Linked DNA regions of Canis lupus familiaris. The protein of the gene in region 6 interacts with the protein of the main gene of each other region in a biochemical or structural test. Links are inferred from orthologs where the notes say so. Each region holds a gene or a part of one and is shown on either strand. Other genes may lie near its edges. The genes, in order: FRS2, INSR, SIRPA, CAV1, PECAM1, PTPN11 and TXNIP.

Region 1 (4,130 bases), on a different chromosome or scaffold from region 6:
AGTCTCACCCTCTGCAATGTTAAACTCAGGCTACCAGTTTATTGAGAAGTAGCATGATGGAGTGGAAATGCACAGGCTTTGACACCAGGCAGACCTGGATTCAAACTGAGGCTCAGCTACCTAACATACTTAAGCATTGCCCTCATTATTTATTAAGATGCTTTTATGTCGTTGTGAAGCTTAGAAAATGTACGTAGTGTGACCAGCATGAAGCGTGATGCCAAGTGCTCAACAGCTTCAGAGTGCTCTTTTATCTCCACCACTTTCTACTTTTTAGCTGCTTACTCCAGTTAAAAATGAACCCATTTTCTTTTCATAGAACTCCAAACTTTAGGTCATCCCACTCACACAGTATTTACATACTTTTATGTAAATATCTTACATCTCAGGACTTCTAGATTTCAAATTCCTAAAGACCAAATGCTTCATCTTTGTATCCTATAATGCCTAACAGTACTTTTCATAAAACACACAACACCCACCTCTAATTAGAAAAAAAATTTTAATATGCCCAAGCAATACAATTCACCTCTTCATGATTTCTGACACACCTTAGAAAATTATTGCCAAAACATGAATTTTAATGGTTACGGCTGTATATTCATTCCTACGCGGTTGCCTAACAGAGCTTGATGCCTAACATAGCAAAAATTCAGTACTCATTGACTTCAATAATACAATAAAATTTACAATGCAAATATTCAACATCTATCGAATGGACCTGAACCTAATGAAATTTACAGAGCCTAAGGGCACCTGAAATTCCCCAACTGCCTTTTTCTGCTCTTACAATTCTTTAAATATTTCTCCTTCAAAACACCTATCATACTATCAAAAAACCTATCATACTATCCTACTTGCACTATGGATCCATGATCATATCTAACTTGACTCCTTTTGCAGGTTTTCTCAATTCCAATATTCCAACCGTAAGCTCTAAACAATCAAGCATTGCAAATGGCTAAGAATCCACAATGTCTAAATCTAATTTAACTTTTCCCCCCACCAGGGACTGTAAAAATCAACCACCCTTTGACCACAATCAATAAAGGAATAAAAGAAACAAGAATTTCTAAAAAGTCAGCCACCCTTTGCCTGCTGAAAAATCAACAACACTGAAATAACTTTTCTTTTGCACAGGAAGAGAGCTCACTGAACTCACCACTTCAGTCTATTTTTCCCTAATGCAGGATATTACCTCCCCTTTCAGCAGTGGGAGGAGAGAGAATGAGATAAGTACCTAAAAAAACTACAGTATACATCTTAATATAAGCACAAGGTGAGAAGCACAGGAAAAGGGTCACTGGCTTCACAATAAACGGTTTGTGTGCACTTTACATTGCAAAAAATAAAAATAAAAAAAAATGCAATGGTCATCTGCAGCCGGTCACAACCCTCAGTGAATGCATTTGCATTCTCTTGCCATCATCATTGAAAAATCACTATTAAATGCAGAAAAGCCTCGTTGCATACAAACCTCCCCCCTGCCCCCCCCCACACACAGTCTAGTAGCTAAGAACTAAGTCCACTAAAAAACACTACCTACCTACTGCATCGTTTTCTCCTCTAGGAAATTCTCAATTTATCCGAGGTAAAGCTCAAAATGCAGCTTAACACACACACACACACACACACACACACACACCACCTCTATCCACCTGTGACAACCTCTGCATTGCAGCACAACTGGAACCTCTAAGGAGCCACTGAGAAAAAAAAAAGAAAGAAAGAAAACAGTCTTTGAAAGTTAAGGAAAATGACAGGTCCAAAAATACGAAGGTATAGGGCAGCCCGGTGGCTCAGCGGGTGAGCACCTGCCTGCGGCCCAGGGCGTGACCCCGGGGACCAGGGATCCAGCCCCACGTCGGGCTCCCTGCGTGGAGCCTGCTGCTCCCACTGCCTGGGTCTCTGCCTCTGTGTGTGTGTGTGTGTGTCTCATGAATAAATAAATAAAATCTTAAAAAAATAATAAAAAGACATATATGAAGATATACAAACTTCAGGGAAGAGGGGGCACAGTGATTCTCCAACCTCCGGCCGTCAATTCGTGCAATAACCGCAAGCTGAAGCCGTCATCCCACTGTGACTCCGGGGTGGCCACAACAATCAGGAGCGCCGATTAGAGAACAGCTTCCCTTTCCCCCCCCTTTTTTTTCCTTTTTTCTTTCCTTTTTTTTTTTTTTAAGTGTGGGAGAAAATAAGGGAAGTTAAGTACTGATATCCCTCCGGCAAGCTGTCTTCCTCAACGCCTTGCAGCGGCCGCCCGAGCAGGCTCTCCGGGGAGCGGGGAGCGGGGAGCGGGGCAGGCGCGCTGCGGGCCCCGCACACCCGGTGCCCCCGGGGCGCCGTCCCGAGGCGCTCCCCCGGCGCGTGTGGACGAGCAGCGCCGCGGAGGACCCCCGGCTGCCGCCCCCGAGGGCACCAACGTCGGGACCTGCAGCCCGAGGCCGAGCCCAGGGCCGGCGGCGGAGAGCGCGCCCGGGAGGCGGCGCCGAGACCCGGGGCGCCGAGGCCCGGCCCGGCCCCGCTCTCAGGTCCCGGGACCCCGCGCCCCGGCCCCGCCCCGCCCGCCCCCCGCACTCGCCCGGGGCGCCGGCGGCCGACGAGCCCCCTCCCCGGAGCCCGACAGCCCAGCCCCGCCGCGCCCCGCCGCCGTCCCGGGGCGCCCCCCCGGCCACTCACCGCCGGCCCGGGCGCTGGCAGGAGGCGGGAGCGGGTGGGCGGCCGCGGACCCCGGGCTCCAGCCCCTGCTCGGAGCCGACCGAGGCTCGGCAGCTGTGCCTGCAAGGCCTCTCTCCGGCCCGAGCCTGGGAGAAGCACTTCCGGGGAAGCGGGGGAGGGACGAGTCTTGGCACCGGAACTGCTCCCGCGCTGAGCTGCCAGCGCCTCCCGGGCGGGGCGGGGGCGGGGCCTGCGGGGGCGGGGCCTGCGGGGGGCGGGGCGGGGCTTGCGGGCGGGGGCGGGGGCGGGGCCGAGCGCGCTAAGCCCGCCCCCAGGCTGGTCGCTCACCCTTTCCGACGCCGAGGCCCCTCGGAAGCCCCGGGAGGCGCCTGCGCCCCTCACTGCGCTTCGCACTTGGTCCGCTGCAGCCGCCTATTTTCACGCGCCACGAGGCCGAGGATGGGAGCATTTGGGTGCGGGGGTCGGGCGTGCACACTTACACAGCCGGCCTCCAGACTCCTTTCCTTTTTTTTTTTTTTTAAGATTTTATTTATTTATTCATGAGAGACACGCAGAGGGAGAGACGCAGAGACACAGGCAGAGGGAGAAGCAGGCTCCATGCAGGGAGCCCGACGCGGGACTCGATCCTGAAACCCCGGGGTCACGCCCTGAGCCAAGGGCAGAGGCTCAACCGCTGAGCCACCAGGTGTCCCTCTCCAGTCCTTTCCAAATGATGATAGTTAACTCCCTGCTAGATGCTTACTACGTGTCATGCGCTGCAGGTGCCTAACCCCGTGCATCGTCCCCGAACCCTGGGAGGTGCTGGTTATCATCTGTACCTTGCATTATCTGTACCTTCCTCCTCCGATCAAAGATACCAAACCCAATACCACAAACAGTGGCTCTCGATTTTACCTTGTGTTGTGCGTATTGAATCTTTACATCTACTCCTTTTTTTTTTTTTTTTTAAGATTTTATTGATTTAGTCATGAGAGACACAGAGAGGCAGAGACAGAGGCAGAGGGAGCAAGCTCCCTGCAGGGAGCCCAATGTGGGACTCGATCCCAGGTCTCCAGGATCACGCCCTGAGCCAAAGGCAGACGCTCAACCACTGAGCCACCCAGGCGTCCCTTTACATCTACTCCTAACAAGAGTTTGAAGCGCTTTGCTTAAGGGCAGAGGGCAGGTTATGTTCCTATATTTCAGCATCACTTGGAATTTGAACAGAAGCCAAGAGCCGGGAGACTCTGGAATCTTCTTGCCTGCATCCTGCTATGGACTTTTCACTTTTTCACCTGGAGCAAGTTGCTTGACTTCTTGAAGCCCGGGTTTCCTCATTTGCGTGTGGGTGTGCATATATATGCATAGGTGTGTAATCACCTCTAGATTGTCGTAAGAATTCAAGATGACAATGATAAACGCTTGAGCGTACCCCGTACCAAGTAGGACTGGATAGAAGTCAACCTACG
Region 2 (3,560 bases), on a different chromosome or scaffold from region 6:
GTCAGAGAAGAGGGGACTATGAGTGGCATTTGAGAAGCCACTGCACTGAACTGTTTAGACCACCTTCTTGAATCGTTCACCAGCTCATGCTGATTTTTCTGCCATAAAATGGCCTTGTTTGCTGAGGTCTAGACCTTTCATTTGGATTGTGCTTATGACCCCCTACATAGGTGTCCTAGAACTAGACCAGTACCATCCACTAGAGATATGGTACAAGTCAGGGGTGCCTGGGTGGCTCAGTCTGTTGAGAGTCTGACTCTTGATCTCAGCTCAGGTCTTGATCTCAGGGTTGTGAGTTCAAGCCCTGCATTGGACTCCATACTGAGCACAGAGCCTGCTTAAAAAAAAAAAAAATCAGTGAGTACTAATCAATTCAGACATGAATAGATGCTAAATGGTGAAAATTTGATGAGTAACAGGATATTTACAGAGTCTCAAAGTACCTCCCCATAAGATTAAAAAAAAAAAGAAAGAAATGTGACACAAGTCACACGTGTGACTTTAAACGATCCAGTGGCCACATTTTAAAGTCTTCAAAACGAATCAGGGAAGTGAATTTTAATAATGCATTTTACTGAAACTGTTCCATCTGAGATGTTATTTTGACGTGGACTCAAACTAGGAAAGTGAAAGAGGAGGATTCTTACATTTTTTCTCTGCCTGTGACAAGCCAGGGAATGACAAGGTTTGTGTGTGTTCCCGTAGGAACTACTCTTTCTATGCCTTGGACAACCAGAACCTAAGGCAGCTATGGGACTGGAGCAAACACAACCTCACCATCACTCAGGGGAAACTCTTCTTCCACTATAATCCCAAACTCTGCTTGTCTGAGATCCACAAGATGGAGGAAGTCTCAGGAACCAAGGGGCGCCAGGAGAGGAACGACATTGCCCTGAAGACCAACGGGGACCAGGCGTCTTGTAAGTGGTGATGTCCTGGTCCTTCCAGCCCGAGGACCAGATAAGGCGGCTGTCTTTCTCCTTGAGCACTGCATTGGCCCTCAGCGGGGGTGGGGTGGGGTGGAGTTGGTGGCAGGTGTCATTGCCCCCCCAAGCTAAAGCAGCTCAGAGTTCTATTTCTGCAATGCCAAGGACAGGTCTATCATATCTCTGTGATTTCAGAGAGACAGTGCCTGATTTTGGAAGATGTCACATCTGCATTGAATGAATGAATGAATGAATGCATGCATGCATGAATGAATGGATTTCTCCTTATAGGTGACCTTGGCTCTAGTGCTCCAGCAGGTCCTGCAGCTGCTGCATAGCTGGAGGCTACCAGCTGACTTCACTCCTCTGACAGGTTCTCTCTCGAGGAAATATCAGAGCAGAAAGGTGCCAAGGCTTCCAAGAGCTGGGTCTTTGCCGCAGATTTGTGGGAATTCAGGAGAGGGAGAGAGAGCAAGGTTGGGGTGTAGCTTGGGGGGGGCTTGCATCCCACTCTTTCTAAGGCATCGTCTCTCCAAGGCCTGCGTGCTCTCTAAACTCACTTGGCCCATATTCAGTTTGCACTGGAGTCATATATTCTGACAAGGAAGGCTTGAAAGTCCACGTGTGTGAGAAAATTGTGCCAGGACAGTCGTCACTCTTGAAAAATCACTTTTCCCAATAATTATCGGCCAGTTGTCCTTCTCAGTTCGGTGCTGACCACTGTTCCTGTGTTGAGCATCTGGCTGCGTGGGGACCAACTTGTGTGACCAGTTCTTGCCTCCGAACACCAGGAGGAGGCTTGTGGGGGTGAGACCCATCCGGGGAGCAGCAGACTGACACCTCCCTTCTCCCAGATGCTCTTGGAAATGTTGGGTCACCTGTTGGGGCCTGAAACAAGTTTTTAATGCTGATGTCATTAATGTTTTTAAACTTTTCTAGGTGAAAACGAACTACTTAAATTTTCTTACATTCGGACGTCTTATGACAAGATCTTGCTGAAATGGGAGCCCTACTGGCCCCCTGACTTCCGAGACCTCCTGGGGTTCATGCTCTTCTACAAAGAGGCGTAAGTAAAGGGTATAGACGTGTGTGGGTTGTGTGTGTTCAGAGGTTCCCCTCTGAGGTGCCTCTCTCTCTCTCTTCCTTGTGGAATAGCGATTACAGGATCCCTTTTATCATCTCACAAGCTGATGGCATGTGAAGTTAGTAACATCCTCATTTGTCAAAACCAGAAATTGAAACAGGTTTCTTTTGGCCAAGTTCCTACGGCAATATTCCATTTTGCCTCATATACGTACACCTCAACAAGACGTCCGTAACAAAATTTGCTCAGTTCGCTGAGTGGGTCTTTAAAAATTTATTTTTGGGGATCCCTGGGTGGCGCAGCGGTTTGGCGCCTGCCTTTGGCCCAGGGCGCGATCCTGGAGACCCGGGATCGAATCCCGCATCGGGCTCCCGTTGCATGGAGCCTGCTTCTCCCTCTGCCTGTGTGTCCGCCTCTCTCTCTCTCTCTCTCTCTCTGTGACTATCATAAATAAATTAAAAAATTTTTTTTAAATAATAAAAAATAAAAATTTATTTTTGTATCCATTTTCTATTTTTTCCAACCTTTAAAGAATTTATTTTCATTTTTATTATTTTTATTTTATTATTATTTTTTTATTGGAGTTCAATTTGCCAACATAGAGCATAACACCCAGTGCTCATCCCGCCAAGTGCCCCCCCCAGTGCCCGTCACCCAGTCACCCCAACCCCCTGCCCACCTCCCCTTCCACCATCCCTTGTTCGTTTCCCAGAGTTAGGAGTCTCTCATGTTTTGTCACCCTCACTGATATTTTCACTCATTTTCTCTCCTTTCCCCTTTATTCCCGTTCACTATTTTTTATATTCCCCAAATGAATGAATCCATATAATGTTTGTCCTTCTCTGATTGACTTATTTCACTCAGCATAATACCCTCCAGTTCCATTCATGTCGAAGCAAATCCAACCTTTAATTGTGGCAAAACATATCTAATGTAAAATTGACCATTTGAACCATGCTTATGTGTCCTGCTCAGTTGCATGAAGTACATTTGCCGTGTTGTGCAAACATCACCAGCATCCATCTCTAGAACTTTCTCATCTTCTCAAACTAAAACTGTCTCCATTAAACTTGGTCATTTTGGGGCACCTTGGTGGCTCAGTGGTTGAGCATCTGCCTTCGGCTCAGGGCATGATCCTGGGGTCCTGGGATCGAATCTTGCATCGGGCTCCCCACAGGGAGCCTGCTTCTCTCTCTGCCTATGTCTCTGCCTCTCTCTCTGCGTCACTCGTGAATAAATAAATAAAATCTTAAAAAAAAAACCCACAAAAATACAAAAAGCAAAACTTGTTCATTTTGAGTACAATTGAGCCTTGAACAATGCAGAAGTTAGGGGCACTGACCACCGCCCAAGTCAAAAATCCACATATAACTTTTGATTCCCCTAAAACTTAGCTACTAATAACCTGCCATTGGCTGGAAGCCTCACCGATCACATAAACCGTTGATTGATATGTATTTTGTATATTATATGTATTATAGACTTATTCTTACAATAAAGTCAGCTAGTAGTAGTAAAAGGAAAATGTTCTTAAGAAAACCGTAAGGGAG
Region 3 (4,114 bases), on a different chromosome or scaffold from region 6:
AGACATGGCAAGGCATTTCCTCAAGTCTGTACAATCAGAAGAGCAGGCTGGCAGGATTGCAACCCAGGGAGACTGCTTCATGCTCTCAACAGGTGTGCGCTGCCTCCCTGTCTTAGCACAACACCCTGTCCGGACACTGACAGGGAGTCTGGGGTGGGGGCGGGGGTGGAGTCACTTTGCAAAGTTCTGCAGCCTGGAAATCCCAGATTGATATCTTGTTGTTACTCCAGGCCTCGCTGTTTGGCCTTAGGCAAGTCCACTCCCTCTCTGGGCCTCAACTGCTTCTCTGTTGATAGGACTGGCTCTTTCTCCACCTCGCTTCATTCATATTCTCCTACAGGCCTTGTGAAGAAAATTGGTCATAGCTTATTTCCAAGCCCAGATCCCTCCAATGTGCAGAGGGTCCTGGACTCCTCTGATGCCTACCGTGTGGTATCCCTTTGCCAGGTGGCCAGGGCACCCCCAGTCCCTCTCACTGACCTGGGTGCTGTTGGGAACACAGCTTTCCCTCAAGGAAAAAGAGAGAGAGGGAGGTGGGGGTGAGGGGAAGAGAGAGAGAGAGAGAGAGAGAGAGGCGCTTCACCAGGAAGCTCTGTCCTGTCTCCAGGCCCCTTCCCCTGCTCTCCCTACCTCTCATTCCCCCACTCCTGCCCCCCATCATCTTCCGGGAGCCCAGGCCTTCAAGCCCCACCTCTCCCCCACACCCCGGCCTGGGCCTTCTGCACCCCCTGAATTGGCTCTGCCTGCCAGAGAGCCCGCTGCCCCTGGTTGGTCGGGACCCTGCCCCTCTGGCTTCTCGGCGGCCACAGCCCCCCTTGGCGTTCCCTCTCCTCCCTGCTTCCCTGCGCCTCTTTTCCAGGCGGTACTGAAGTCCTTCCTACACACACGCTATTTTTGTACCATCACTCTCTCCTTCCTCTCCCCTTCCCCCTACATTCACTTACTTCCTGCTTTTCCTTCACCTCGGCCCAGCTCTCAAAGAGCCGGGCCCCTGGAGCGCGCGCCTACCCCCCGAGGGGCGTCGGGCTTCGGGCCCAGGGGCAGGGGCAGTCCCCGAGCGGCCGAAGGCGGGCACCCCCGCCGCGTCCCCGGCCCCCTCCCTCCCGCGCCGCCTCCAGCCGCTCGCCGGCCGCCAGCGGGCGGGAAGCGGGGCCCCGCCGCGCGGCCCGGGTCCGGAGGCGAGGGGGAGGCCGGCCGCAACTTCCCCGGTCCACCTTAAGAGGACGATGTAGCCGGCTCGCGGCGCTGACCTTAGGAAAACAAGTTTGCGCAAAGTGGAGCGGGGCCCGGCCTCTGGGCAGCCCCCGCGGCGTTCGCCCTGCGTCCCAGCCCCCGCGGCGGCGCAGGTCCGGGCGGAACGGGGCGCCGCGACCGGGACCGGGACCGCGACCGGGACCGGGACCGGGACCGGGGCCCGGCAAGCGGGAGGGAGCGGCGCGGGCGCCCGAACTGGCACCGCGTTGCGGCCGGCGGCCCGTCCGGTCCCGGGCGCTCGCGGGGCGGCGGGCGGCGGGGATCGGGGCCCGGCGGGAGGGCTGGGGCCGACGCAGCCCCCCGCCCCCCTCCCCTCCCCTCCCCTCCCCGCTCCTCCCCTCCCCGCCCCTCCCCCGGGCGCGCGGCCGGCGGGCGACAGGGGGCCGACGGGCCCGAGCCCCGCAGCCTCCCCGGGCTGGCGGGAAGGAGGGAGGCGGGGAGGGAGGGCGGGCGCGCGGGAGGGGGCCGGGCTGCCGGGAGGGCGGGGGCAGCGGCCGGGACTGCGGGCCGGGAGCGAGCCCCGCCGAGCCGCCGGCGCCGCGAGGAGCCCGGGAGGGGCAGGTGGGCAGCGGCGGGGGCGGCGGGGGCGGCGGCGGGGCTCGGCGGGGCTCGGCGGGGCTCGGCGGCTGCCCCTCGCCCCTGCGCGGTCCTCCTCTCTCCCGCGCTGGGGCCGCGATCCGCGCGCCGCCTCGCGCGCTCCTCTCCCTCCCTCTCCCTCCCTCTCTCCCTCTCTCCCTCTCTCCCTCTCTCTCTCCCCCTCTCCCCACTTCCCCTCTCCCCCTCTCTCGCCTCTCGGCGCCTCTGGCTCTCCGCCTGGCTCCCTCGGGTCTGTTTCTCTCTCCCGCCGCCTCTCCCTGGCCGTCCCCGGCTTGATTCTCGCGCGCTCGGGGTCTCTCCCCCTCTCCGCCTCCCGATCTCCCGGGGTTGGGGGTTCCTCCGAAAACCGCGGCGGCGACGGCGGCTCCTAAGCCGCTCCAGGCGCCTGTTCCGGGGAGGTGGGGGGGAAGCCCGGCCGGGGGGAGGTGGGGGGAGAGGAGGGGGAGCCTTAGTCATTTCCCCGCTCCAGCCTGCGCCCGCCCGAGCGCGCACTCACCGCCGCTCTCCCTCCTCGCTCCGCAGCCGCGGCCCATGGAGCCCGCCGGCCCGGCCCCCGGCCGCCTCGGGCCGCTGCTCTGCCTCCTGTTCGCCGCGTCCTGCGCCTGGACAGGTAAGCACCCCTGCCCCCGCCGTTGCCGTTGCCAGACCGGGGACCCAGGCCTGCCGGAGCGCCTCTGGGAGCCACTGGGCTAATGTCCAGCGGTAGTAAGGGGAGACGTGTCTGTAACCGGGATTACAGAGGCAGAAACTGAGGCCCAGAGACGGCCAGCCACTTGCCCAAGGTCACACAGCCACGGGTAGGACCCACTCTCCGTGGACTTTGATCGCGGGGGCATCGTGCTGGGCACTGGGACATACCCAGATGAATTGGTCCACCCAGTCCCTGCCCAGTCTGATGGGGGAGGCAGGCTGTCAGCAGCTTTCAGAGCCAGGTGCCCCTGGCTTCTCCAGAAGCTCTTTCCCTGGACTTAATGCTCTTGACAGTCCGACTTCGGGGTCTGAGAGAAGGGGGTAGAGGCAAAGGTCCCCCAGGTACTACCTGGAAGGGGACAGAAGCAGCCTATTGCAATGAGGGAAGAGTGAGCTCTCCCTCTGGTGTGCAGAGTAACATAGTGTTGGTGTGTGTATGAGAGACAGAGAGGAAGGGAGGCCGCAGTAACTCTGGGTGAGCTGCTGTGATCAACAGATCCCGATGCGAAAGCGCTGGTGGATTGTCCCTGTGCTTGCCAAAGCCTCTTGCTGGATGGTCTGCTCCTGGCTGTTCTCTAGGCTCCCCCACTTCCTCCTGCCATCCCCCCCCCCCCCCCCCCCCCCCCCCCCCCCCCCCGGCTTCCAGGCAGCTCCCTGCAGTTCAGGTGCTCCATGGGGCTGTTACCTGTGGCTCTGAGCATGTCTTTTTGTTGGCTTACATCAAACACCTGGCTGTCTCCAGCAGGCGGGCTCTGAAGGCTACCGTGTGTGTGTTCGCCAAGGGGTGAGGTCACCATTCAGGAGTCCTGCATCTTAAAGGGGTTTTGCAAAACCATGGGTCTCCTGGGAGGGCACAGGCAGCAGAGTAATGGCTTTAAAGGAGTTAGGGTGGGGAGACGAATGGGGATCTTGTTTTTTGGCTACTTGAAGCTGTGTGGTAGGCAGAGGGGTCTGCATCACCATCCTTGAGGAGGGAGGTAAAGATGAGCTCAGTACCCACCTCCCGTCCACCCCCCCCCCTCGTGCCTTTTGCATTTGCCTAGAGACTGGTAACCATCTGATAGCAGTGAGGAAGGGAGAACTGGCAGAGTGGGTGGAGGGAGAAGTGGGGGTGGACAGCAGCTTCTCTCTGCCCTGCAGTCTCCCCAGAACCCCAGGAATCCGCGTAGGCATCCCCCCCACCCCACCCCACTCCACCCTGGGTCTTCCCGCGGCATGTTCCATGTTCGTTGGGTCCTGGCTGGTAGGAAGGAAGCACTGATACATTTCATGTCTGCCTGGTGAGTGGCATCTCCGATCTGCTCCTTCCTGCCCGAGCCAGCCATTTACACCCTGCAAAAGTCCCAGTTCCTGCCCCCACGTCCTGCCTGGCCTGGCCGGGAAATGCACAAGTGTCTCTCGCAAGTACTTAATTTTCCTGAAACAGGGAACTGGGCCCACATTAATTTCTAAATGTCTATTCTAGACCCTTCTCCAACCAGGACCCTGTGGTTCAGTTTCTGGCAAATGACCGGTGACACTGATTAACAAGTGTTCGGATGGGCAGCCTGCCTTTCCCGGGGTCCTGGCTGGG
Region 4 (4,068 bases), on a different chromosome or scaffold from region 6:
ATGAGAAGGAGAAAAAGCAAAAATGTCTTTCCCTCTCTTTAAGGTGACGCTTTTAGTAAATCGTTTTTAGCAATTCTAATTTCAAGTTTATAAGCTACTTTTTTTTTTTATTGCTGCTGCTTTTAAATATTTCATAATCTGGCTAGTAGAAAAACCTACTAATGCTCCAATTTTCCTTTTTCCTCTACCAGCAAGCCAAGAGAGTCAATTCTGACAGTTACATTTTCCTTCCCGTTACAGGTTAAATTGTTTCCCTTTTTGAAATAAATTATTCATAAATGTGCATAGTCTCTGAACTATGGCTCTTCCCAGCCCCAGATAGGAGACTGGGTAGGTGGAAATTGCTCATCTGCCCCATTGGCTGTTCTGGAGTTGTGCAGAACTGGGTCTTCACGCTATAATCTTCCAGGCCAGGATTTTCCTTGGCCCTCCCCACTCCTCAAAGAAAACCCTCTGCCAAGAATGGCTCAAGCCCATGATTTCCCAATCCAGATGGATTCGGACAATAAATTTCCCTGACTTAATTTGCTAAGAGGGTCAAAGTTGAATAATATAATGATAATCAAAAATTGATCACTGACTCAAATCTAAGTTTGGCCAATAGCTCATTCAGATGCCTTATTATTTTTTTTTAAAAAAATCACCAAACACATTCTGAAAATATAAAAAGGAACTCCAGCCTGAGTGTCTCATTAACTCGGGGAAGCCTGACCCAGGCAGTCACTAAAGAAGTGACTTTATATACCTAGCTAGGGGTGTCTATGGGAGAAATCCAGAGGCGCTCATTATTTTTGGTTGTGGAAATTAGCTTGGTCGTGCACGAGTACCACTTTTTCCCCCTCCAGTTAAGATGCTCTCTCTCCATATATGTGATATATAATATATCAATCTGAAGCATTTTTACCCACCTTATTATAGTTAAGAAAATAACTTGAGGTTACCCTGATTTGAGCTGGGACAACCTGCCCACTCGGTATCCCATAGATCATCGAGCCACAAAGAACTTACACAGTGACCTTACTTGCTTTAATTCTAGGTGCAATAGGGCGCCCCCCTTCGCTAGAGTTTAAGCCTGGGAACAGGCAAGAGGGTGCCCCGCAGGGCCAAGCGCCTCACTCGCCCAAGGAGCGCGGGCCAACCTGTCGCGGAGATCTGGAGGTGTGTTGGCCGGGGAGAAGTGGGGTTCTAGGAGGAGGGCAGTCAGCGAGATTCCAGCCGAACTAGCCGGCGGGGTGATGGGGGAGGGCAAGGTGGGGGGACTGCGGGGCCCCGCGTCCTCAAGCGCAGGAGGCAGCGCGCGCGGGCCCAGGTAGCGGAGGATGCTCGGAGCGCCCCGGGGCGGGCGGGGCCGCCTCCCCTACCTTGACCACGTCGTCGTTGAGATGCTTGGGGTCGCGGTTGACCAGGTCGATTTCCTTGGTGTGCGCGTCGTACACCTGCTTCTCGCTCATCTCCTCCGCCATGGCCTTGTTGTTGGGCTTGTAGATGTTGCCCTGCTCCCGGATGGGAACGGTGTAGAGGTGCCCCTGCGCGGGGTGGGGGGGGGACGGCGGGGTGCGGGAGGGGGGGGCGGAGATGGGAAGAAAATGTCAAAAAAGGCAATGCCAGAAAAAGGAAATGTCAAAAAGGAAATGTCAAAAAGGAAAACGAGCGGTGCGGCGGCCCTGGAGGTCGCCCGCCAACTGGCCGCTCGGGCGCCGCCGGCGCTTAAGAGGATGGAGGCGAGGACACCACACCCCTCGGTGCCCGCGGGGAGCCCCGGCCTCCGCCGCCCGCCGCCAGGGGTCAGCGCGCACCCGCGCCGCCCCCGCCCGCGCCCGCCCCGCGCGCCCCCCAGCGACCGCGGGGACCCGTCCCCGGCTGCGGGGCGCCCCTCCCCCACCCTGCTCTCCAGAAGCTCTCCGGCGTCTCCCTCGGGCCCGCTGGAGCCCCCGGGACCCCCCGGAGGGGCCCCCTTTCTGCCCCTTTCTGCCGCACCTCCCCGACACCTGCTGGCTCGCCGCACTCTCCGCGCCCCCCGCCCCCGCGGGGCTCAGCGTCCCGAAAGCGCCCGTGTCGGGAGCAGCGCCCCCCGCCCCCCTGCAGACCGCCCCGAACCGCGACCTCGCACCTGCCCGGCGCCCCCGACCTCCCCGACCTCCCGCAGGTCCCTCCTAGGCCGCCGGCGGGGCGCGGGGCGGAGGGCGAGTTTGGGGAGCGAGATCCCCGCGCGGACGAGGGGTGGCACTGGGAGGGGAGGGCGGGCAGGGACAGGAGGGGAGGGGAGGGGAGGGCAGGTCCCCCCTCTGCAAACACCCCGCCGGGCGCCGCGATGCTGGAAGGGTTCTTGAGGCGGCCCGAGGGCTTCGGGCGGTGCCAGCCGGTCCAGGCGCCTGGCGGAGCGGCGGGGACGGTCCCCCGGATCGCGGGGGGATGGCGGCGCACCCCGCGTCCCCGATCGCAGCCCCCCAGCGCGCAGGGGCTGGGCCGTGCGGGTCCCGACCTAAAGCAGCGCCCCGGGCCCGCCCACGACCCAGGAGCGTGCTCTGGTCCCCATCTCGGGACCCCGGGGCGCCCCCCGCCCCCACTTTCAGCCTCCCTCTGGTTTAGGGCCCGCCGGCCCCCCTTTCCGAAGAGCAGCCTGGACGACATTCCTGCCCCCTCTTCAGCTCCCCGCCCAGGCCCATTCCTCGGAGGTGCCCGCGCCGGGGGAGCGCCCGGCGGCCGACCGCGGGGGGTGGGGTGGGGGTGGGGTGGGGGTGGGGGCGCCCCGGGGGCTCCCCGCGCGCACCCCGCGAGCCTACCTCGGAGTCTACGTATTTGCCCCCAGACATGCTGGCCGGTGGCTGGGTGAAGGCTCCGAGGTTTCCCTGGGCTGTTATTCAAGGGAACCGAGGAAGGAAGATCTTGTATTGTGCAGGGGGGGGGGGGGGGGGGGCGGGGAGGCGCAGGCGGGGGGCGGCGGCTGGGAGGGAGCCTGCTGGCCGCGGGCCCGGGGCTTGCCGCGAGCGCCCGGCCGGGACCTGCGCGCCGGGTCCGGGCACATCCCCGGGGTTCGGCGGCGCGGGGCGGGGAGCGCGCGGGGAGCGCCCCGCGGGGGTGGCCTAGACCTGGGGCGCACGTCCCCGGGGGGCTCGCGGCGGCGTCCTGCGGGGGCGCGGGGTTGGCGCGGGGCGTCGCGCTCCTCCCCGCGCTCCTCCCCGCGCATCTGCCCGCGGAGAAGCCGCCTCCCCGCCCCCATCCCCGCCCGCCCAGCTCTCCCCCACTGTCACCGGGAGGAAAGGGACGAAAAAGGGCGCAGGACTTTTGGGCACGATGCGCCCCCGACGGCGAGCAAGCACACGTGCGCGCGCGGTGCAGGTGGCGACGCGCCGGCTCACACCTGGCGGCCCCGGACAGGACACACAGACACGCGGAACTCCAGTTTCCCCGCCGCTTCTGAAAGCCCCCCCTGCCCTGCCCCCCAACCCTCTGAAGCAAACGAGAATGGCAGGCTTCGCCCATCTTTCTGGAACTTTCTGGAAACTTATGCCCACACGTTGTGCCACATTTCCAAAAGACGTAAAAATATTTACAGTTGTAGGAATATTTAGTGGGAGCTTCAAGTTTGTCATAGAGGACTTTTTCTTTGCACTTTTTCTAATTTTTTTTTCTATTTTTTTTTTTTTTCTAATGCACTTGCCCGTGCGTTAGAGGAGACCCGGTTCTTCTAGGAACCGATCTGAAGTTTAACAAATCGTTAGCAGTTATTTGCAAATGTTTTCTCTATTCCTGAATGTGCGGCTGCTATCTTTTTATAAAGCGTACGCCTAAGGTGAATGGAACAATAAGCAGTAGTTTTACATCTGGGCTATGGAGAAGTCAAGAAGTTCACTGTCTTTTGGCCTGTGGCTCCATATGCAATCAGAAGGAGAACTAGAGGGGCGGCCCGGGTGGCTCAGCGGTTTAGCGCCGCCTTCAGCCCAGGGCCTGACCCTGGAGACCCAGGATCAAGCCCTGCATCAGGCTCCCTGCATGGAGCCTGCTTCTCCCTCTGCCTGTGCCTCTGCTTTTCTCTCTCTCTGTGTCTCTCATTAATAAATAAGTAAA
Region 5 (3,560 bases), on a different chromosome or scaffold from region 6:
CTTCCCCCAAAGGAGTGTCCGATCCCATAGTGACACTGGACAAGAAAGAGGCAATAGAAGGCGGGGTCGTGAAGGTCAATTGTTCTGTCCCAGAGGAAAAGCCCCCGATACATTTCACAATTGAAAAACTCAAACTAGATACGAAAGGTTTCAAGCAAAAAAGAGAAAAAACTTCTCCCAACCGGAATTTCATGATGCTGGAGTTCACAGTGGAGGAACAGGACCACGTTATATTTTTCCAGTGCCAAGCCAGGATCATTTCTGGGACCCACATGGAGACCTCTAGAGCCATCAAGAGTGAACTGGTCACCGTGACGGGTTAGAGTCCTACTCTCCTTTTTATCACTCTTTCTGCCTTGCTGGTTTGGGATGGGGAGAAAGACCCCAGAAATCAGGAAGGGGGGTGGGGCCTTCTGGCTGGGCTTCTGTTTTCAAGACTGTTCTTAACCACTTCAAGGCTATGTTTATAGTTTAAAATATATGTGTGTATATGTGTGTTTGTGTGTACATGTAAAATTTCCCAAACAAAAGTTTCTCAAATAATACTTAATATATGAGGCATTTTGCCATTTTCTATTCGTTTGTATTTCAGTTTTTTAAAACACTGGCCATGACTCCGTGAAATGATGCATTGTGTAACCTGCAGCTTGGAAATCATGGCTTTAAGCCAACAACCCCCAAGCCTGGGTCAGACACCAGGAGGTGGAGTCTGGAGGGGATAGGGAGGGAAGGGAGTTCAGGTCCTCCGCCTTTGCCTCCCACATTTGATAAAAGACTCCCCTCTTCTACCCACCCCTTATCACCAAGATGTTGGACAAATAAGAAATAAATGAGGTGGCCTGAGGAGTGCTCTGGAGTGAGAAAGACAATAGCAGAGGGAAGCCTGGGACTGTGTATCCAGGATCAAGAGAGCTCCAGGACAGGCAACCCGCAGAATGGGACAAGGACTCGTGAGCCGAGAAGAGTCAAGGGAAGGCACACTCTAGTGCAGATAGCCTCAAGTCTTTTCTATAGGAGCCTCAAAGTTTGTCATAAATACCCTTCTGCTTTTGGTACCTATTTTCACCTCTGCCCATTGTGTGTGTGTGTGTGTGTGTATATATATATATACACACACACACATATATACAGGTATGAAATTATGTATATGTAATATTTTTCTGATTATAATACATGGTGTGGGTTCAGTTTTCAGAAAATATGGCACAATGTAAAGGATAAAGTGACAATCATTCATAGTACCACTGCTCAGAGAAAATCACTTGTAGGTCCCAGACTGGTTCTGCTTATACATTCATGCACGCACACAATTTTTGTTTGTTTTTCTTTGTTTTTACAAAAAACACAACCTGACCAACATACTGTTTTATAACTTTTCTTTAACTTATCAATATGTTACAAACTTTTGTCTGTATCAAGGAATACAGATGTAGGTCTTTTTTTTTCGTGGTACCTCAGAATCCTATTATAGGTATGTACCATAATTTACTAGTACCATTATTTTTCCAGTGGTAAACATTTGGGTATTTTCCTAATTTTTTGCTATTAAAACAACCCTGGAATACACACACTTACACTTATCATTTGTACTTTTGCAAATATTTTATTTCATTATTATTTATGACATTGATTTCTGGTAGTCAAGTTGTTGATTCAAATGTTTGTGCATTTTAAATATTGATATGTATTACCAAAGCACTCCTCAGATTGGTTGAACATGTCCATCAAAAGTGATGCTAGTGTTTATTTTCCCACAACCTTGCTCTCAGAGTATTATCTACTTTCATTATTTTTTTGTCAATCTAATTGAGGCACAGTGATATATTGTTGTTCTTGTGATTTGTATTTCTTTGGCTTTTACTGAGGTCGAGTATGTTCTCTGTGTTGATTGACCAATTACTACATTTCCCCCCATAAACTGCCTGCTCGTATGCACTTGGCCCATTTTTACTGTTTCTGATTGATTTGTTTGAGTCCTTTATAAATTAAAGGCATTAACTCTTTGTTGAGTACTGTGCAAATATTTGCCCAAGTTTGTCATTTGTCATTTGTCTTTATTTTATAAGCTTTTCAAGCAGAAGTGTTTCATCTCTGTATAATCAAACCTATCCATCTTTTTCCTTTTGGCATCTCAGTTTCGTGATTCACACCTGAAACTTATTAAAGAGTAAGATGGGAGGGAGCATTAGAGCAACTTAAGAGAAGGTTTTTGAGAGGAAAGTTTCAATTTTTTTTAATTAATAAGGAAGGACAGTAATTGGCAAAAAAAAAAAAAAAGATTAAAAAAAAGGGGGGAGGACATAAGTGCCTCTTCCTCTTGTCCAGATTTGAGCCTGAGTCCAACCAGTTTATCCTCTTCTTGTAGAATCCTTCTCTAATCCCAAATTCCACGTCAGCCCCGAAGGAGTGATCACAGAAGGAGATCAGCTCTACATTAGGTGCACCATTCAAGTGACACATCTGGTCCAAGCATTTCCAGAAATCATAATCCAGAAGGACAAGGCAATTGTAGCACACAAGAGGCATGGTAACGAAGCCACCTACTCAGTGATGGCCATGGCGGAGCACAATGGCAATTACACATGCAAAGTGGAAGCCAGCCGGATATCCAAGGTCAGCAGCATCGTGGTCAACATAACAGGTAGGGCTGCTGCTGGAGGGTGTGGGAATATGATGGGCTTAAGCAGTCACCATGCTGGAATCCAGAATGGCCAGTGAGGGCTGATAGTTCTGTTCCTGCTTGTCTGAATGATGTACTCAAATGGGGTTGTGGTGCTCAAGTGAAAAAGTCAATGCTGAGCCAGTAAGCAGTTAAATGTGGTGGTTGAGTGTGCAAGTTCTGGCATCAAATCCCAATACTGTCACTCATTACTAGGTGACTTACTGAGCTTCTCTGTGGCACAGATCTATGAGATGGGGATAATGACAGCAGTCACCTATAGGACTGTTACAATGACTAAGTGATGTGGCTCTGCTATAAAGAGCCTTATACGGGGATCTCTGGGTGGCGCAGCGGTTTGGCGCCTGCCTTTGGCCCAGGGCGTGATCCTGGAGACCCAGGATCAAATCCCACATCGGGCTTCCGGTGCATGGAGCCTGCTTCTCCCTCTGCCTGTGTCTCTGCCTGTGTCTCTGCCTCTCTCTCTCTCTGTGTGTGACTATCATAAATAAATAAAGATTTAAAAAAAAAAAATAAAGAGCCTCATACGGAAGAAGCACTCTGTGAATGTTAGTTAACATGTCTATTATTATACCACATTTATCTTTCCTATGTGCCAAGCACTAGCCTAGATCCCAGACATAGGTCCTAAGATAGGGTCAGGAGTGAGAAAGCATTAATAAATGAAAAAACAATAGTAACAATTCCCTTTTGTTGAACACTATATGACTGGATTATATACATTTTCATTTCATGCTTATAACAATGCTATGAGATAGGTGTCATGATTCTGCATTTATGGATGTGGAAATTAAGGCTGAGGTGTTAGGTCACTCACCCAGAAATTACAGGATTACCAGATGGTAGAACAAAAGTTATCCTCAGGTCCATTCGACTTCCA
Region 6 (3,560 bases):
CACAGATGAGGAAACTGAAGGTCAAAGAGGTATGGGATTTGCCTTGGGAAGTCCTAGAGAAGCTGGGCTCCACGTGTGGATTGGACTAACCCCAAAGCCCTTAGCTAATCTATTCTCAAATACAAACAGGCAGTCTTATAAATACTCTCAAGAGCAGACATTGTTTCTGTTCATATTAATAGTGTGGGTTTGAGTCCAAAACCCCTATGAATGGCTCCAGCGTCATTGCTCTTTGTCCTTCTGTCCACAGTGCTGGGATTGGCCGGACAGGGACGTTCATTGTGATTGATATCCTTATTGACATCATCAGAGAGAAAGGTGGGTCATCTGGAGGGCAAGAAGTTGTAAGTTCTTTTTTAGTTTATGGAAGGAAAGTGCTAGTGAAAATAGCCTGGAGGAGAGAATTTGAATGTTAAAACATTTTTAAAAATCTGGGCTGAAGACTTTGACTTTCAGTTGTTTATAGGAGAACAAAAGTGATTCTATTTGAGCCTTTGACATAAAATGAAGCCCAGGAGCCGTGGTCCCGCTGCTGTGGTCTTTTGTTGAATATGCAGTGGTGGTCTCTGGGGTGGTGCTGATGGAGAGTCCTGACCTCCGATACTTAATCAGATCATTTTCTGGAATCATTTGTATTAGTCAGAAGGCAGTGTAGCCCTTGAAACATGTTCAGTTAGAACATTAAAGACTACATTTAAAAAAAAATTAAAAAAAAAAAAAAAAAAGACTACATTTACTATATCTCTGAGTCTGCTAAAAGTTGTGCATTAAACCACTTCATCCTGGCCCCACAGTTTCTCCTAATGCTTCATGGTGCTTGCTTTGCAGGTGTTGACTGCGACATTGATGTTCCCAAAACCATTCAGATGGTGCGGTCTCAGAGGTCAGGGATGGTCCAGACAGAAGCACAGTACCGATTCATTTATATGGCTGTCCAGCATTACATTGAAACACTACAGCGCAGGATTGAGGAAGAGCAGGTACCAATCCTGGAGGGGGCTGGTGTGCATATTTGTACTTTCTTTTCTGGGCAGCTCTGATACACTCTGCTTTTGAGCAGGATGGGCCTCTAAGAGATAGCTGTTACTGTTCAGGAATGAGAAACTCATTCCCAACCAGGAAGGGCCTCTCTGGAAACTATTCCCCACTTCACAACTCTGGTATTTCAGCAGAGGGTAGCTTGGAGATAGCTGCTATCATCCTGGCCTGGCAGATTGGGGAACTGCCACGTGGAAAGGTTAGGATTTTCCCAGACAACATCCCAGGATTCTCACATGGCAAGTTTGGAAATGAAAGCCTTGAAGTTTCCAGCCTGTTCCTGTTTAGATCCAGGCCATCTTTATCCTGATCCCATCTCTTAAACAAATGCTTCACTCTTCATAGCACATAGCAGTTTGAACCATAAACTTGGTTGAGTTGGAAACAGTGAAATTTCAATTTTAATAAGCCATGCATAATGAAGAAGAATGTGGAGTTGGAGCATTTCCATTTGAAGCTATTCATAACAGACACAAAGCTGAGTTAATTAAGAATACGCTGAGATGAGGGAAATGAGGAGACTGCTCCTTTGGGGATCTGGGCATCTCCCCCCCACCCCCCCACCCCCAACTGCTCTGCTGCAGACAGGGGAATGTCTAAACAGCAGTGATATCTGCCTACTTTACCCTGTGTATTGCCTTCCAGAGAACCCGGCTTCTCAGAATGGCACCTGCCAGCGAATTGAGAGACTTCTAGCCTAGCAGAATAGCAGCCACATTATCAAAAGCTTCATTAGCCAAAGTAAGATATCTGTCAGCTTAGTAGGTTCTCAGTTCACATAAAAAGACTAGATTATGGGGTGCCTGGGTGGCTCAGTCGGTTAAGTGTCTGACTCTCGATTTCAGCCCAGGTCATGATCTCAGGGTTGTGAGATTGAGCCTGGCACTGGGCTCCGTGTTCAGTGCAGAGTCTCCCTCTGCTCCTCTCTCTGCTCGTTTGCATTCTCTCTCTCAAATAAATAAGATCTTAAAATCCAAAACACTAGGGGCAGCCTGTGTAGCTCAGCGGTTTAGTGCCGCCTTCAGCCTGGGGCATGATCCTGGAGACCCAGGATCGAGTTCTGCGTCGGACTCCCTGCATGGAGCCTGCTTCTCCCTCTGCCTGTCCTCTCTCTCTCTATGTCTCTCATGAATGAATAAATACAATCTTTAATAAAAAATTCAAAACACTAGATTGTTTTCGTTGTACAAAAACATCTTCAGCAACGGTGTACGTATAGAAATATAAGGTCAAATAATCAACATGGTACCAGTTTTGACCTTCAGTGCTTTAAATCTGATTTGGTGTTATCGTAATTGTTACAAAATATTTAGATGGTTGCTATAGGCTATTTTCTATTTGTCTTCCAATTATACTGAATTTGGGCCAGGAATAAAACATGAAGTTGCCCATATAGAAAGACCTCCTAATAAATACAAAGAGAATGTAGCACACTATTGGTACAAATTCAGGAATATCTTGAAGCATATAATCTTGTTTGGAAAAGCTAGGGGAAAAGCTCTCTTTATTTCATTCAGAAGTTTTGGTATTTATCCTTGTTTTGGCAACTTTAGTAGGGACTTCCCCAGCCTTACAGCACTTGAGATCTTCTGAATTACCGTATATAGTCTCTCTGACCCTAAATCTCAAGATGTAATTTGGATTTAAGAACTCCTTTAAAGATAGCTTTATCGGGCAGCCCTGGTGGCGCAGCGGTTTAGCGCCGCCTGCAGCCCAGGGTGTGATCCTGGAGACCGTGGATCGAGTCCCACGTCGGGCTCTCTGCATGGAGCCTGCTTCTCCCTCTGCCTGTCTCTCTCTCTCTCTCTCTCTCTCTCTCTGTGTCTCTATGAATAAATCAGTAAAATCTTTTTTTTTTTTTAAAGATTTACTTATTTATTCATTCAGAGAGAGCTACCCTAAATCAGTAAAATCTTAAAAAAAAAAGCTTTATCACCCCAGGGTCAGGAGGGGGTAGAAAAAAGCAGAACATATTCCTTGATAATTTAAGTCTTATAGAATATCGAAACTGGATGTCACTGATAATCCTATTTGAAGAGTGCTTCAAATGAATGCATGCATTCATTCGTTCAGCCAGTACTTTTTGGTGCCAATATGTGCCAATATTGTCCTTATTAGCACATTAACTGCTCTTTGGGATCTGAGCCTTCAGAGTTTAAAAAGATGGGTTGGGGGATCCCTGGGTGGTGCAGCGGTTTGGCACCTGCCTTTGGCCCAGGGCGCTATCCTGGAGACCCGGGATCGAGTCCCCCATCGGGCTCCCGGTGCATGGAGCCTGCTTCTCCCTCTGCCTGTGTCTCTGCCTCTCTCTCTCTCTCTCTCTCTCTGTGACTATCATAAATTAAAAAAAAAAAAAAAAAAAAAGATGGGTTGGCTTATTCATTTTTAAAAATGAGATCCTATAACGTGTAGTTCCATTTAATTCCATGTATGAACTTACTACCTGATTTTGTGGTAGAATTAAGAAGTACCTTCTTCTGGTAGAAAGCTTAAGTGGTAGCCTTAAGAACTAGTGAAGCCAC
Region 7 (4,025 bases), on a different chromosome or scaffold from region 6:
AGTCAGGGTCTCTTTTAGCTTGAATACAGTGATCCTTTTGTCTTCTTTCCTCACTGGGATTTCTAAAATAAAGGGCTTAGAAAAACACTTTTAAAAGATACGGAAACTCTTCCTTCAAACAGGAATGCAGCCATCTCTTTACTGACACTTTGATCATATAAACAAGAGAACTTTTAACTCGGCTGTGAGGAGTGTGGGCTACGGATTTAGAGATGCGCCTCTGATTTGGTGAGTTGCAGAGGGGATGAAGACAAGGAAGAGTGCAAGCAGCTGAGGAGGAAAGTGAAACGAGGGAAGCATCTTGTTTCAAGTACATACCTTACTAAAAGAGTAATATATTGGTAACTGGGGGAATAGAAACAAAGTGTTCCCCCAACTTTGCAGGTAGAAACTGAAGAGATGAGGGGGAAAGGAACAGGATGTGAACACGCCCTGATTCCGTTCCAGGGAGAACAGAGCGAACGGAGAGAGAGGGTACAGGGGCTTCCAGGTTCGGGGGCGCCGGAAAGGGAGCGCGAAAGCCGAGCAGCGCCCCGGACCGCTGCCCACCCACGACGGAGAAGAGCTTTACAATTTGTGACAAGTTCCCCTTTCTGTCACGGTATTTAGGGGTTTGGATAGAGACCCGGGGGCAAGAGAAAGACAAAGGGGCTCTTCCTCAACAGTCACACCAAAGCTCCCTGGCCTCTGCCCCAATTCTGAAGTATTCTTGGAGTTAAGGGATTATTTTTCACCGGACTTGCGACTTGTGAGCCGGAAATAAACGGTCGCCTCTAAATTTATTGCACTGGCTGAGGTTAGGCACGAAATTCCCACATAAGCACATTTTCTTTTCGCTTCAAACGCTGCTCCCACCCCAGAAGCATCTGCACCCGCCCCCCGACGGCCACCCCCCGTGATAAATGCTAGGGTCCGCGAGGGCCCGCTCCCTCCGGGCTTCCCCTGGGCGTCCTCGGGCGGAGGGAGGCGGCCCCGCAGCCCCTCCGCTCCCTCCTCCCGGCGAGGCTGCCGTGCACAACAACCATTTTCCCCGCCAGGAGCACACCGTGTCCACGCGCCGCTGCGGCCTCGCTGATTGGTTGGGCTCCTGGTAAACAAGGGGCGGGCAGCCAATGGGAGGGCTGTGCACGAGGGCAGCACGAGCCTCAGGGCTAGCGCTCGCGTGGCCGGGCGAGCCCGGGCGACTATATAAAGCAGTTTCCGGCTGCTCCCCGCAACTCTCCTTCCGTCTCCTCTGGCGGGGTGGGCCGTTCGGGCTCTCCTAGAGTCGGGGCGCTCCTCCAGCTGTCGGAGAAAAGAACAGAAAGCTGATTTTTTTTTTTTTTCCCCCGGGGATCCTTCGGCATCACCCACAGCTTACATTTTTTTCCAAAATCTTTTTGAAATCTTAGCGGAGAGTTGAAGAGTGAAATAATTTTTTTGCAGAGCATTTTTGGATTTGGAGTTTTGTTTTTTCTCTCCCCCCCGTTTATAACTGTCAAGGCAGCCCAGCCAATCATGGTGATGTTCAAGAAAATCAAGTCTTTTGAGGTGGTCTTTAACGACCCTGAAAAGGTGTATGGCAGCGGGGAGAAAGTGGCCGGCCGGGTGGTCGTGGAGGTGTGCGAAGTGACTCGAGTTAAAGCTGTCAGGATCCTGGCTTGCGGAGTGGCCAAAGTCCTGTGGATGCAGGGATCCCAACAGTGCAAACAGACCTCTGAATACCTGCGCTTCGAAGACACGCTTCTCCTGGAAGACCAGCCAACAGGTGAGTGGCCCCGTTGTTTGTCGGGAGGGTGAAAGCTGATTTGAGAATAGAGTTGAAACGAATGCTTGCAGCTTATGCTGAATATTTCAAGCTGCTAAGGTTGAGTAGCTTGACTTGTATGTTGTTTCCTTTTTTAGTTTTAACTTGCAGACTCCTAAAAAAAGGGGGGGGGTGATTTGTACAGTTTCTTACAGTGTTCTGTTCTGAAGGTGATCCTGAGGTATGCTGCCTTAACTATTTAAAGGTTTTCTGTGTGCATAAGTTGCATATTCTTCGCTCGTTTCCGGTTTGAGAGGGTAGTAGCTTCACTGCCCTGGTTGAGCCTTTCATCATTGCAAGGCTTTGAAACTTTTTGCCCAACGAAATGCATCAGGATCTCTCAAGAACAGAAGGGGGTGAAAATAGGGGACCTGCAATAGACTTGCATGCTGCCCAGGAATTCCTTATCACACAGATGCATTTGAAGTGAAACAAGAAACCTGATGGGCTATTCTTTCTTCTTTCTTCTCAGGTGAGAATGAGATGGTGATCATGAGACCTGGAAACAAATACGAGTACAAGTTCGGCTTTGAGCTTCCTCAGGGGTAGGTGTCTACTAAATGCATCTTTGGACTTTCTTATCTCTAAAATTCGCCACCTTTGATCACCTGTTCTTGGAGAACAGTTTTAGATTGCTTCTTTTTTCTTGACACAGGCCTTTGGGAACATCTTTCAAAGGAAAATATGGGTGTGTAGACTACTGGGTGAAGGCTTTTCTTGATCGCCCCAGCCAGCCAACTCAAGAGACAAAGAAATTCTTTGAAGTGATGGATTTAGTGGATGTCAACACTCCTGATTTAATGGTGAGGTTCATTTAAAAATTATGTTTTCTTGGGTTTCGGGGATGGTAAGTCGTAAGTCAAGTGTCTTAGGCATTAGACTGATGTACCTCAGGGGATCCAGTCCTAAATGGATTACCAAGGTGGGAGGGAAAGTTGCCTATTCTAGGTAAGGAGTAGAAAGAAAAAAGAGAAGGATCTCTAGAAAGTCTCAAAATGTCTTTTTACCCCTATTTAACACAGGCTCCTGTGTCTGCTAAAAAGGAGAAGAAAGTTTCCTGCATGTTTATTCCTGATGGACAAGTGTCTGTCTCTGCCCGAATTGACAGAAAAGGATTTTGTGAAGGTAAAAACTTAATTAAAAAGGTAGTCTGATAAAACAGGAACTGTGGGTTTGGGAGTGAGGGCAGGCTATAGGGGTAGAAGTCCTTAATTGTATTAAGCGTCAGCTAATAAGTTTTTGTCTTTATCATTGTTAGGTGATGAAATTTCCATCCATGCTGACTTTGAAAATACATGTTCGCGCATCATGGTTCCCAAAGCTGCCATAGTAGCACGCCACACTTACCTTGCCAATGGTCAAACCAAAGTGCTGACACAGAAGTTGTCATCTGTCAGAGGCAATCACATCATTTCAGGAACCTGTGCATCGTGGCGTGGCAAGAGCCTTCGGGTGCAAAAGATCAGGCCTTCTATCCTGGGCTGCAACATCCTTCGAGTTGAATACTCCTTATTGGTGAGTGAATGGAGTCCAAGAAATTGTTCATCTGTCAAAATAGTCATTTCTCCAAACCTCTAGTCTAACTAACTGTCATTTTTCCTTTCTAGATCTATGTTAGTGTTCCTGGCTCCAAGAAGGTCATCCTTGATCTGCCCCTGGTAATCGGTAGCAGATCAGGTCTGAGCAGTCGGACATCGAGCATGGCCAGTCGAACCAGCTCTGAAATGAGTTGGATAGATCTCAATATTCCCGATACCCCAGAAGGTGAGCCAGACCTAATGTTTTTTCTTCCTTTTTGACCTGCTTGGGTTTGTGAAATTGTGACGGTCAGGCATTTCTTGGCCAAACTTCTTATGCCTATGTTTTCTCTAGCTCCTCCTTGCTATATGGATATCATTCCTGAAGATCACCGATTGGAGAGCCCCACTACTCCTCTACTAGATGACACAGATGGTTCCCAAGACAGCCCTATTTTTATGTATGCTCCTGAGTTCAAGTTCATGCCACCACCGACTTACACAGAGGTGATCATTGCCATTTTACAAATTGTCCTCTAAGCCTCTTACAGGAAGTTGAATGGGAAGGACTGCTAAACTGGGTGGTTGTTTTAGTTCTTACCCAAACTAAAATAATCGTTTCTTTTGTTTCTCTTCCCCCCACTCCAGGTGGATCCCTCCATCCTCAACAACAATGTGCAGTGAACTTGTGGAAGAAAAGAAGCAGCTGTACTTAACATGTT

Evidence for each region.
Region 1: the proteins of PTPN11 (region 6) and FRS2 interact in a test that uses a peptide from one of them, tested with the Homo sapiens proteins (2 studies listed by BioGRID, with this or other methods). The link is inferred for Canis lupus familiaris from reciprocal best matches to the Homo sapiens genes PTPN11 and FRS2.
Region 2: the proteins of PTPN11 (region 6) and INSR form a complex in vitro, tested with the Homo sapiens proteins (2 studies listed by BioGRID). The link is inferred for Canis lupus familiaris from reciprocal best matches to the Homo sapiens genes PTPN11 and INSR.
Region 3: the proteins of PTPN11 (region 6) and SIRPA form a complex in vitro, tested with the Homo sapiens proteins (2 studies listed by BioGRID). The link is inferred for Canis lupus familiaris from reciprocal best matches to the Homo sapiens genes PTPN11 and SIRPA.
Region 4: the proteins of PTPN11 (region 6) and CAV1 form a complex in vitro, tested with the Homo sapiens proteins (2 studies listed by BioGRID). The link is inferred for Canis lupus familiaris from reciprocal best matches to the Homo sapiens genes PTPN11 and CAV1.
Region 5: the proteins of PTPN11 (region 6) and PECAM1 form a complex in vitro, tested with the Homo sapiens proteins (4 studies listed by BioGRID, with this or other methods). The link is inferred for Canis lupus familiaris from reciprocal best matches to the Homo sapiens genes PTPN11 and PECAM1.
Region 7: the proteins of PTPN11 (region 6) and TXNIP are reported together in a solved structure, tested with the Homo sapiens proteins (2 studies listed by BioGRID, with this or other methods). The link is inferred for Canis lupus familiaris from reciprocal best matches to the Homo sapiens genes PTPN11 and TXNIP.

What each region holds. Positions count from the first base shown.
Region 1 is NC_049231.1:11,804,753-11,808,882, reverse strand, and holds the start of FRS2 (fibroblast growth factor receptor substrate 2), read right to left. Parts: upstream 2,832-4,130; 5' UTR 2,683-2,831; intron 1-2,682. UniProt on the Homo sapiens protein: Adapter protein that links activated FGR and NGF receptors to downstream signaling pathways.
Region 2 is NC_049241.1:52,466,225-52,469,784, reverse strand, and holds part of INSR (insulin receptor), read left to right. Parts: intron 1-705; coding exon 706-920; intron 921-1,865; coding exon 1,866-1,992; intron 1,993-3,560. UniProt on the Homo sapiens protein: Receptor tyrosine kinase which mediates the pleiotropic actions of insulin.
Region 3 is NC_049245.1:19,586,159-19,590,272, reverse strand, and holds the start of SIRPA (tyrosine-protein phosphatase non-receptor type substrate 1), read left to right. Parts: upstream 1-1,291; 5' UTR 1,292-1,346; intron 1,347-1,777; exon of another isoform or gene 1,778-1,815; intron 1,816-2,373; 5' UTR 2,374-2,382; coding exon 2,383-2,461; intron 2,462-4,114. UniProt on the Homo sapiens protein: Immunoglobulin-like cell surface receptor for CD47. Acts as docking protein and induces translocation of PTPN6, PTPN11 and other binding partners from the cytosol to the plasma membrane.
Region 4 is NC_049235.1:55,589,273-55,593,340, reverse strand, and holds the start of CAV1 (caveolin-1), read right to left. Parts: upstream 2,814-4,068; coding exon 2,784-2,813; intron 1,527-2,783; coding exon 1,362-1,526; intron 1-1,361. UniProt on the Homo sapiens protein: May act as a scaffolding protein within caveolar membranes. Forms a stable heterooligomeric complex with CAV2 that targets to lipid rafts and drives caveolae formation. Mediates the recruitment of CAVIN proteins (CAVIN1/2/3/4) to the caveolae.
Region 5 is NC_049230.1:14,719,031-14,722,590, forward strand, and holds part of PECAM1 (platelet endothelial cell adhesion molecule), read left to right. Parts: intron 1-12; coding exon 13-318; intron 319-2,365; coding exon 2,366-2,641; intron 2,642-3,560. UniProt on the Homo sapiens protein: Cell adhesion molecule which is required for leukocyte transendothelial migration (TEM) under most inflammatory conditions.
Region 6 is NC_049247.1:10,377,051-10,380,610, forward strand, and holds part of PTPN11 (tyrosine-protein phosphatase non-receptor type 11), read left to right. Parts: intron 1-250; coding exon 251-318; intron 319-828; coding exon 829-980; intron 981-3,560. UniProt on the Homo sapiens protein: Acts downstream of various receptor and cytoplasmic protein tyrosine kinases to participate in the signal transduction from the cell surface to the nucleus. Positively regulates MAPK signal transduction pathway. Dephosphorylates GAB1, ARHGAP35 and EGFR.
Region 7 is NC_049238.1:59,433,990-59,438,014, reverse strand, and holds the start of TXNIP (thioredoxin-interacting protein), read left to right. Parts: upstream 1-1,208; 5' UTR 1,209-1,497; coding exon 1,498-1,747; intron 1,748-2,258; coding exon 2,259-2,331; intron 2,332-2,441; coding exon 2,442-2,589; intron 2,590-2,808; coding exon 2,809-2,911; intron 2,912-3,044; coding exon 3,045-3,301; intron 3,302-3,393; coding exon 3,394-3,550; intron 3,551-3,658; coding exon 3,659-3,810; intron 3,811-3,951; coding exon 3,952-3,987; 3' UTR 3,988-4,025. UniProt on the Homo sapiens protein: May act as an oxidative stress mediator by inhibiting thioredoxin activity or by limiting its bioavailability.